3 linked regions of the Sus scrofa genome follow. The protein of the gene in region 3 purifies or fractionates together with the protein of the main gene of each other region. This does not show direct contact. Links are inferred from orthologs where the notes say so. Each region holds a gene or a part of one and is shown on either strand. Other genes may lie near its edges.

The links. Proteins that work in one complex are often made in the same cells at the same time.
Region 1: the proteins of KLC1 (region 3) and KIF5A purify together in Homo sapiens (co-immunoprecipitation; 7 studies listed by BioGRID and IntAct, counting the BioPlex papers as one, with this or other methods). This does not show direct contact. The link is inferred for Sus scrofa from reciprocal best matches to the Homo sapiens genes KLC1 and KIF5A.
Region 2: the proteins of KLC1 (region 3) and KIF5B purify together in Homo sapiens (co-immunoprecipitation; 11 studies listed by BioGRID and IntAct, counting the BioPlex papers as one, with this or other methods). This does not show direct contact. The link is inferred for Sus scrofa from reciprocal best matches to the Homo sapiens genes KLC1 and KIF5B.

What each region holds. Positions count from the first base shown.
Region 1 is NC_010447.5:22,833,799-22,837,448, forward strand, and holds part of KIF5A (kinesin heavy chain), read left to right. Parts: intron 1-92; coding exon 93-180; intron 181-590; coding exon 591-715; intron 716-1,202; coding exon 1,203-1,307; intron 1,308-1,486; coding exon 1,487-1,635; intron 1,636-1,956; coding exon 1,957-2,105; intron 2,106-2,359; coding exon 2,360-2,535; intron 2,536-3,650. UniProt on the Homo sapiens protein: Microtubule-dependent motor required for slow axonal transport of neurofilament proteins (NFH, NFM and NFL). Can induce formation of neurite-like membrane protrusions in non-neuronal cells in a ZFYVE27-dependent manner.
Region 2 is NC_010452.4:42,641,464-42,645,113, forward strand, and holds part of KIF5B (kinesin-1 heavy chain), read right to left. Parts: coding exon 3,549-3,650; intron 3,050-3,548; coding exon 2,919-3,049; 3' UTR 2,900-2,918; intron 1-2,899. UniProt on the Homo sapiens protein: Microtubule-dependent motor required for normal distribution of mitochondria and lysosomes. Can induce formation of neurite-like membrane protrusions in non-neuronal cells in a ZFYVE27-dependent manner.
Region 3 is NW_018084979.1:2,191,258-2,194,907, reverse strand, and holds part of KLC1 (kinesin light chain 1), read right to left. Parts: intron 1,596-3,650; coding exon 1,422-1,595; intron 1,281-1,421; coding exon 1,181-1,280; intron 1-1,180. UniProt on the Homo sapiens protein: Kinesin is a microtubule-associated force-producing protein that may play a role in organelle transport. The light chain may function in coupling of cargo to the heavy chain or in the modulation of its ATPase activity.

The DNA of each region.
Region 1 (3,650 bases), on a different chromosome or scaffold from region 3:
AAAAGATCCTGTCTTGCAAGGTCATTACACTGTGCAGGTAGTTTAATTTGCAGATCAAAGTTCATGGGTCACTGTCCATTTGCCCCCTGCAGGGTTGTACCGAACGCTTTGTGTCCAGCCCAGAGGAGATTTTAGATGTGATTGATGAAGGGAAATCAAATCGTCATGTGGCTGTCACTAGTGAGTGGGGATATAAGGGGCTCTTGAATTTGGGGGCCTGCCTCTCCTCTGTGCCTTCTGGGGATGAGGGCCTCAAAAACAAGAAAGGGGGAGTTCCTGTTGTGGTGCAGTGGGTGAAGAATCCGACAGCAGCGGCTCCGGTCACTGCAGAGGTGCAAGTTCGATCCCCAGCCTGGGAACTTTCATATGCTGCAGGCGTGGCCAAAAAAAAAGAGCAAAGGTAGACTGTCCTCCAGAGGAGGAGGGATGCTTATCTGCTGCCTGAGAGACGTAGGGTCTGAGCTAGTCCTGGCGGATACCCTCTCTCTCAGTGGGTGGGGGCGGTGGTCAGTGGAAGCAGGGCAGGGGGGGCTGAGGGCTTCAGTTCCGCAAAGGTTGATACAGGGACTATTCCGCCCTCCCTCCTACAGACATGAATGAACACAGCTCTCGAAGCCATAGCATCTTCCTCATCAACATCAAGCAGGAGAATATGGAGACTGAGCAGAAGCTCAGCGGGAAGCTGTATCTCGTGGACCTGGCAGGGAGCGAGAAGGTTGAGGGTCCTGTGGCGGTGGGGTGGGGCAGGGAAGGAAGCCTTGGGGGTTGGCCTTTTTTTTTGGATCAAAATCACTTTCTTATTGACATAGAATTCACATGCCATAAAGTTCACCATTTTTACATTATATGTACAATTCCATGTACAATTCAGTGGTTTTGGTATGTTTGCATGGTTGTGCAACCACCATCACTAATTCAGGAATGTTTTCATCCCCTGTTAACAATAGGGGATGCCCTATTTTTCCCCCTCCAATCCCCTGGCCGCCATGAATCTACTTTCTGATTCTGGATTTGTCTTTTCTGGACATTTCATGTAAATGGAATCAAATCATATAATATGTGGGTGAGGGAGTGGCCCCTGGCAGGATCGTTTCCATATCCCCTCCTCTCTTTGGACTGAGCCCCCCGCCAAGAAGAGGTGCTGAGAACCCCCTCCCTCTGCTGATGCTCATGGCACACTCACCCCTTCTGTGCCCTGGTAGGTCAGCAAGACTGGAGCTGAGGGAGCCGTGCTGGACGAGGCCAAGAATATCAACAAATCGCTGTCAGCCCTGGGGAATGTGATCTCGGCACTGGCGGAGGGCACTGTGAGTGCTCCTTTGGGGGCCTCACCCCTCAAGCTCCACCCCATCCTCTGCCTTCTCCTTGGGTCCCCACTTCATCATGCCCGATGCTTGGATTGCTCCATCCCTAGTTAGCACTACCATCCTTTCTGATGACCTTGTTGAATTTATTTTTCTGATTCATGGCTTCCTCTTCTCCCCAGAAAAGCTACGTTCCATATCGCGACAGCAAAATGACACGAATTCTCCAGGACTCCTTGGGAGGAAACTGCCGTACAACTATGTTCATCTGCTGCTCACCGTCCAGCTACAACGATGCGGAGACCAAGTCCACCCTGATGTTCGGGCAGCGGTCAGTGGCAGGGTTCCCTACTCTCTGCTCTGGCCCCTGCTGTTCCCTCTTCGGGATCTCAGCAGCCTTTTTTTTTTTGCTTTTTAGGGCTGCACCCGAGGCAAATGGGGGTTCCCAGGCTAGGGGCTGAATTGAAGCTGTAGCTGCTGGCCTGTGCCGCAGCTCACCACAATGCTGGATCCTTAACCCACCGAGCAAGGACAGGGATCGAATCTGCATCCTCATGGATGCTAGTCAGATCCATTAACCACTGAGCCACGATGGGAACTCCGGGTCTTGCCAGCCTTAATGAAGGTCTCATCTTTTTGTTCTCCTCTCCAGGGCAAAGACCATTAAGAACACTGCTTCAGTGAACCTGGAGTTGACCGCCGAGCAGTGGAAGAAGAAATATGAGAAGGAGAAGGAGAAGACAAAGGCTCAGAAAGAGACGATTGCAAAGCTGGAGGCTGAGCTGAGCCGGTGGCGCAATGGTTAGAGAGGTCCCGTGGGCACAGGGAGCCACACAGGGTTCCTGCAATCTCCAAGGAGGGCTGCAGTAGGAAGGTCATGAGAGAAAGGGGGAGGAGGCTCACTGCCTTTATCCCTCATCCCCCAAAAGGTTGATGGTCCACTTGGCAGGAGAGGTGGCAGCCTGGAGGTCTGGGGTTGAGCAGTAAGGGAGGAAGGACCGGCAGATGCAGCTTTCCTCTGTCCCAGCCCTCACCTTGCTCTGCCCCTTTGCCAGGAGAGAACGTGCCTGAGACGGAGCGCTTGGCTGGGGAGGATGCCGCGCTGGGCGCTGAGCTCTGTGAGGAGACCCCCGTGAACGACAACTCATCCATCGTGGTGCGCATCGCCCCTGAGGAGCGGCAGAAGTACGAGGAAGAGATCCGCCGCCTCTACAAGCAGCTGGATGACAAGGTGAGGGCCGTCGGGCAGGGCACAGAGGGGATTAGAGAATTGGCAAGTGAGGGATTAGAGAATTGGCTGATACTGCCTTTTTCTGATTTTAGAAGGGATGACTTTCATTATTGAAAATGTGGAAGATAAATAAAAATATGTAGAAGAATATTTAAATCATCCATCCTTCCACCATTCAGAAATAAAGCTGCACAATTGAGATTTTTACTATATGTGTAACTTTGCATCTGATGATTTTTTTTTTTTTCATTCTGCATGATATAATGAATGATTTCTTCTGCTTTTTCTTGGCTGCACCTGTGGCATGTGGAAGTTCCTGGGCCAGGGATTGAACACGCACCACAGCAGTGACCATGCTGGATCCTTAGCACATTGTGCCACAAAGGAACTCTGCTACTTCTCCTTCTTTTTTTTTTTTCTTCTGCTCTTTAGGGCTGCACGGGCGGTATAGGAATGTTCCCAGGCTAGGGGTCAAATTGGAGCTGCAGCTGCTGGCCTACACCACAGCCACAGCGGTGGGTTCATTGCCGCTGAGCCACGATGGGGACTCCCCACAAGGGAACTCCATAATGAGCAATTTCTTACTCTGTTAACAAATCTTCACAAAAGAATTTCAAAATGTCTGCCTAATAGTCCATTTATCAAAATGTATTTAATCATTTATTTATTATAGGCCTTCTAGGTTTTTTTTTTTTTTTTTTTTTTGGTTTTGTTGATTCATTTGTTTTTGCTACTATAAATAGCCCTAAAATGACTGTCTTTGTTTCTTGTGCATAAGGTTTTGCTTTTGAATGGTTTGATTAGAACAAAGTGCTAGAGTGGTATTTATTTATTTATTTATTTATTTATTTATTTATTTATTTATTTTCTTTTTAGGGTGGCACCCATGGCATATGGAGTTTCCCAGGCTAGGGGTTGAATTGGAGCTACAGCTGCCGGCCTACGCCACAGCTCACAACATCACCAGATTCTTAACGCACTGAGCGAGGCCAGGGATCGAACCTGCAACCTCATGGTTCCTGGTCAGATTCATTTCTGCTGCGCCATGACAAGAACTCCTGGAGTGGTATTTCTTAGTTAAAAGATATGAACATTTGAAGGCTTCTGCTGTGTAC
Region 2 (3,650 bases), on a different chromosome or scaffold from region 3:
CCTTAACCCGCTAGGCCACCAGAAACTCCCTGATTATACTCTTTCAGTCACTTCAAGTCTCGACAACCTGGTCTAGCTAGGTTAACTATCTCCCTCATGTGCTAAACTGCTGTCATTACATTCTACTTTCCAGCTAAAACCTAGCTGTATTTAACAAAGGTGATGGACCATTCTCTCTCAAATGAGGTAAGAGGTTAAAGTTCACATGTGAACTGTAACGCGAGGACAAGATCCAAAAAAGATAAACTTTTACCTGTATTTATATTTATGCTTTGAAAATGCCTTTGCCCACCTCCACTTCCAGAAAAGGCAGCTTGCATCTACTTGGCACCCACTCTTTACTAGTTAATGACATCTTAACTGTATAACTCTCAAGAATGACTTTGATTTTAGTAATAAGGGGAGCTCAACAAGTTACCAATCCAAAGAGGGAAAAAACAGAAGCACTCTCCTAATTGGCAGGAAAGTTACTGTAACATCTTCTGATGAGAGACAATAATAAAGCACCTATTACCTACAATACAGTCTTATAACAATGTTTACGAGAACCCAAAAAATGATTTTTTTTTTTTTTTGGTCTTTTTAGGGTCACACCCATGGCAGAGGGAGGTTCCCAGGCTAGGGGTCCAAAGAGAGCCGTAGCTGCCAGCCTATGTCACAGCTACAGCAACGTCAGACCTGAGCGGCACCTGCAACCTACACCAAAGCTCATAGCATTGCCGGATCTTCAAGACACTGAGGGAGGTCAGGGATTGAACCCACACTCTCATGGATGCTAGTCCCAGATTTGTTCCTGCTGAGCCATGATGGGAACTCTACCAGCTTTAAAAAACTTAATCTGTAATTTGATTTTATGCTTAAGAATTTTATTTTATTTTTTTGGTCACGGCCCTGGCATGTGAAAGTTCCTGGGCCAGGACAAAACCCACACCACAGCAGTAACCCAAGTCATAGTAGTGATAATGACGACCCTTAACTGCTGGGCGGCCAGGGAACTCCCTATGCTTAAGGGTCAAAATAAGAAAGAAATTAACTGAAAAAGTAACCTGCTCAAGTTCATAAGAGTAAATTCAAACAGACGGGACTCCAATATCAATACTTTTTTCACTATATCATTCTCTTTTAAATCCAGAATATCGCTTAATTTTCTACTCAAATTGACAGCCAATGTTATGCAAAATGTCAAAGTAAAAAACAAAGAAGATTAAAATAAAATGACTTTAGTATCTGTCAAAAATAAAAACAATTAACTATCTCAAAGTTATCTAATATTTTTAGTTTCCAAACCATCTACACACCTGAGGCTTCCCAAAGGATTAAATCTGAGTTCCTACCATACAGTAAAATAGCAGGCAGCTATAATCAGTCACATGGCCAAGTTAAAAAAGTAGGCTACGAAGTAGTATTTTATAGAATATTTATAGAATAGCATAGTATCTTGGTAATATAATATTAACTGACAGTTTAAGCTTTCTAATTTAAAAGTTATAATATGTGAAGACAGCCCCAGGAAAATATATACAACATACTGGGTGGTATCTCTGGATAATATTTATCTCCTACTTTACTTTGCGGTAATTCTTTATCCCCCTACATGGTAAAAATATTACTTGCATTTAGAAAGAAACAAGTAAGAACTCATAAATTATAAAAACCACTCACAGAGGTAAATGGGAAAGGACACAGAAATAATTCATTAAAAATATAAGTATATAAATGGGCCAATAAACATGAAAATATCCAAATTCGTTAATAAATTAATGAGATAGTTGGCCTATTAAAATAGGAACTTAAAAACTATTAATACTTAATACTGGCAAAGATACAACAAAAAGGACAGTGTCACTGGCTAAGATGCAATTTGGTGCAGTCTTCTGAAGAGGGTTAGTGTCAAGAGCCTTAACAATGTTCACTTTCGGGAGTTCCCATCATGGCTCAATGGTAACGAACCCAATCAATATCCATGGAGATGCAGGTTTGATCCCTGGCCTCACTCAGTGGGTTAAGGATCCAGCACTGCTGTGAGCTGTGGCGTTGGTTGCAGACTTGGCTTGGATTCCACATTGCTGTGGCTGTGGTGTAGGTCAGCAGCTACAGCTCCAATTTGACCCCTAGCCTGGGAACTTTCATATGCTATCGATTTGGCCCTCAAAAGACCAAAAAAAAAAAAAAAAAAAGTTTCACTTTCTCCTAATCCCACTTATGGGAATTATCTGGAGATAATCGCAAAGTTGAGGATGTATAAAAAGATGTTTCACTGTGACTTTGCAATGACTATATGGAAAACATGAAACTTTTTTCTGGCTACACCTGCAGCATGAGAAAGTTCCTGAACCAGGGACTGAACCTGCAACACAGCAATGACAACGCTGAATCCTTAACCCACTGCACCACAAGGGAACTCCCATATATGGAAATTTCAATTTTGGACTATTTCAAGTATGGGAAAATTAACATAATTAAAAGTCTAGTAAAAGGCAATAGTTCAAAACAAAGAACCACAAAGGAACAAGGGAGTTACCTGATGGCTCAGAGGGTTAAGGATCTAGCACTATCAGCATTGCAGTGTGGGTCAATCCCTGGCCTGGGAACTTCTGCATGCTGTAGGCACAGCCAAAAATGAAACAAAATAAAACAAGGCAGTAGTTATAAATCATAGTATATCCATTAGACAATACCAAGAACTTAAACAAATGATCTAACAATAGGCTAAAAACAGTAAGAACACAAATTTGAATATACATATAGTATGACATGAACCAGGACAAAACTAAAGTTACTTATAATCCCACACATTAAAAAGAAACCATGATACTAAAGTGAGAATCCGAAAGGGTGTTTAACTGCCAATGAACCTCTCCATGGACAGGTGTGATTAAAAAATCCAGAGACCACCAACCTGTGGTGCCCTGTGAAGATTACACCTGCTTGCCTCCCCCGCCTCGTACTGCCACTGGCTGGCTGTTCTGAACAAATGCACCTCCTCCACGAATTGCACTTGGATGAGTCGGAGAAGCTGCGGGATGTTGCCCAGGACGAATAGGTTTAGCTGGTGTGAAAAACAAAAACTGACTTTAGAATAAATAACATGCGACTGCAATGACTCTGTAGGTCTCTTCTCTTTCTTCGCAAACAACTGCCCCCCCTTTCTCTTTGCCTTTCTATTTCTCAGTTATATCCTTTCCTCTAGGACCTATCCAATCCTTAGTTTCTGAAAATCCTTATTCCTTTATCAATGATTAACAATTAAAGTATGAAATACTATGGATGACATTTTCTTCCAAGTCTCTCTTTGCTTGAGTAACTTTGCTCTACATGGTTTCTTCTATCTGTGACCAGTCTCACTTGGCTGTGCTGTTCTGATCTCTCTTCTTGTCCTTTTGAGGTGACTTCCTCAGTTTGCTCTTCATTCCCAACAATGTTACTTTTTGGCAAATTAAAAAACACAAATACCACTGTGGCAGCACATAACAAATAAATCAGAGTACATTCTCAAGCAAAGAGAAACATTCAAACCAAAGCAAGGTTATTTATTGTGCTTTACTAACCAATTTGTGCAGAATGTCCTCTTCTGGCCATATTCTTTGATCTGACTGCTTCCTTTATACGATCTACTTCCTGCTGATAGCGTTTGCGATCACGAGATGCAT
Region 3 (3,650 bases):
ATGCCCAATGTGACACACAAAGACCACTCTACTGACCAATCTTTATTTATTTATTTTGCTTTTTAGGGGCTGCACCTACGGCACATGGAGATTCCCACGCTAGGGGTTGAATCTGAGCTGCAGCCGCCGGCCTACACCACAGCCACAGCCACACGGGATCTAATCTTTTTTTATTTTTTTTTAATTTTCCCACTGTACAGCAAGGGGGTCAGGTTATCCTTACATGTATACATTGCAATTACAGTTTTTTCCCCCACCCTTTCTTCTGTTGCAACATGAGTATCTAGACATAGTTCTCAATGCTATTCAGCAGGATCTCCTTGTAAATCTATTCTAGGACGGGATCTAATCTGTGTCTGCGACCTACGCCACAGCTCACGGCAACGCCGGATCCTTAACCCACTGAGCAAGGCCAGGGATTGAACCCGCATCCTCGTGGTTCCTAGTCGGATTCGTTAACCACTGAGCCACGAAGGGAACTCCCAAAATCTTAGAAAAGATTTCTTCCAAAACGTGTATTATGTACCTACAATTCTTTAAGGAAGGCAAAGGAGACCAGCCTTAAAGAGCTTGAGGTCCAACAACCCAGCAGCCCCGGGTGGGTGGAGAATCCACATTCCGACAGGTCCCAAGTAGTGCTGACGCTGCTGGTTCATGCCAGTCTTTCGGGAACAATTCTAGAAAGCACTAAGGCCTCCAGGAAGGCTCTCCAGAGTTAGTGCATCTAAACTATGCTTAAAGCCGCTCAGACACGTGGACTCTGGAGAAGGCAGTGGGGAAAGAACGCAGCAGGGGGCCCATCGGGCCTGGCCGCAGGGGCACAGCCTGCTGAGGATCAGCACTGCCCGGGCAGGTGCGCGGGCGTTTGCCATGGCCACTCAGGCTGGGCCATGTCCTCTCCTCTAAGCGCTACTTAGAAAATCAGCTCTAAAATTCAAATGAGGAGTGCCCTTGTGCTGCTGCAGGTTAAGGATCCAGTGGTGCTGCTGCTGTGGCGCAGGTTCAATCCCAGGCCCCGCAGGCGCAGACAAAAAAAGAACATTAAATAAAATGAACATAAATGCAAATTGAATTCTATTTTGAAAATATGGTGATGACTTGAGTATTCCCGAGCTGGAAACCACTCTTTCTAATGCATTCTACACCCGCATCTGCTTCGAGGAAGGAGTGTATGTCTTACCATCCACGGAACCAAACTCTCTTTCATGTGCCCGAGTGAGAATCTCTTTGTACAGTGTTTCTGCTTGCTTGAATTTTCCTTGCTTCAGGTAGCAGGACGCCTTGAAACAAAACAAAACGCTTACCATTCTCTTGTGTGAGTGACGCGAACGCCTACATTCTTGCCCGCAGGTGAGAGGGGAGGCAGAGCCCCAGGAGGAAAGCCCGCGGCTCTATGGCCAGAGCTGCCTCGGGCAACCTACCAGGTTGTTTTTCGTCTTGGCCACATTGGGGTCATCAGGCCCCAGCTTGGTCTGGTAGATCTCGAGGGCTCTTTGATAGTAATACTCCACTTCTTCATACTTGCCCTGGTTCTGGCACAGTAGGGCCAGGTTATTCAGCTGCTTGGCCACATCAGGGTGATCCTTTCCCAAAACCTGGGGACCAAAGTTAGCTTATTAGAAACACTTACGACGTGTCTCACGCCAACCAATCCATCACCCACCCTGTTCTAGGAGAAGGATCTTTCGATCATGAACATGACTATGCCTCATTCCCAGACTTACCACGATTAACTGGCCCCCATGCAAAAACACGAATAACCAGAGGAGCTCCCCAGTGGCCCAGCAGGTTAAGGATCCCGCATCATCACTGCAGCAGCCTGGGTGGCTGCCGAAGTGTGGGTTCAATCCCCGGCCCGGGAATTTCCACATGCCGCAGGTACAAATGAACAAAAAAATTTTTAAACCAGAATGTATTAAACTCTCATGGCTGGGGGGCTGGGGGGGACGGTGCTGACTTCCTTCCCAGGCTTCAGCTCAGTCAACGCCTGTAGGACCCCGACGTGGTAGGTGACACACGCACATTCTGAAGATGAGCAAGCTGGGTTCTCCAAAGGCTGTTTGACGACTGCCACGTTCTGGAGGAGCCCAGGTGTAAACCCAGCCCTGACTCCAACCACGTCACGCTGACAGCGACACATCGAGAGCCTTCAGCAGAGCCTTCCCACTCTTCAACCCACATCCCAGCCCCTCCACATGCAGACCGGGGGCCTTGCCATCACCCTGAACCGCACCCTCCTGTTTCGAGGTCCACCTTCCGGGCCCTGTGACCTCGCTGTCCCAGACGCCGATGCTCTCCCTCTCCCCGCAGGGCCCTCTGCCCACCCCCGCCCCCACTAACGGCACATCCCTGACCTCAGGGACCCCTCCCCCCGGTCAAGGCACACAGCACATCACGAGTCGTTTCTTCCTCTGAAAGCATCACTACCTACCCCAAACCATCTCATCCATTTAGTTCTCTGCTGCCTGCCTCTCGCCCGTGAAAACGTGACGCCGCAGAGTGCAGCTGGATGCGATGTAAGCCTAGCACCCGGTTGGCGCTGGCACACAGCGGAGTGAATAAATACTGGACAAACGCCCTCACCTTGTGCCTGTACGCATGCAGTCCCCAGGGAGGCTGCTGCAGCTGCCCCCTTCTGCATGCCTGCCTCTCCCTGCCTGGGAAGCGTGGACCTTAGGTATTCAGACTCGGCTCAAACCCTGACCGTCTGGGGGAAGCCCAGGCTCTATACTCCTCCTGGCTCTAGGCTAGACGTCAAAGCACCTGCATCCCCAAGGTCCGTCTGGTGGGCATCGTTCCCCGGCAGGGCGCCGTATCTAACGTGTGAATCACTGACGCTATCAAGTCCTCAGTAGCTGTCTGCTCAACGAGTGAGTGAAGGAGCCTACACGAACGCATGCGACAGATCATCATTCGCAGCTCATAATCCTCAACCTGATACGCCTGAGGTTCTCCCGGGTTTTAACCCCAGTCCACTGAAAAGCTGAGTGGATAAATGAGAAATAAAACAAAAGCCATCTGACGTCATAAAGACCATGCACATGGCAACGTGGACAAAACGTGACCTGCATAATTTGAAAAATGAGCCGCTTTTCATTCCCCTTGCCCAACTCCTCGCCATATGACCCCAAAGTACATGTTAATCTCTCAGTATCAATGGCAAATATTCACACAATCAAACCAAATTAAAATATCACAGCAACGACATGACACTCAAGTCTCTATGACATTTGAGCACAGTCACAGAATAACGACGAATTTGACAAGTTACATCTTTAAATACCTCATTACCATAAACTGTAGCAGCTGGCATTAAATAACCATGACACTGACTTAATCTATAGCTGTGAGTTGTTTTTTTGTTTTGCTTTTTACTTTTTAGGGCCGCACCTGTAGCACACAGAAGTTCTACAGCAACCCCGGATCCCTAACCCACTGAGCAAGGCCGGGGATAGAACCCGCATCCTCATGGATACCAACTGGATTCGTTACCACTGAGCCTCGATGGGAACGCCTCTGGGTTATTCTTTAGTTCTCAAAAATAATTATTTTTTTAAGATTTATAAGCATATTTGGTGACCTTATTTTTAAAACTGTAAAGTTTTTTTTTTTTTAAGAGCCACACCTGCGGCACATGGAGGTTCCCAGGC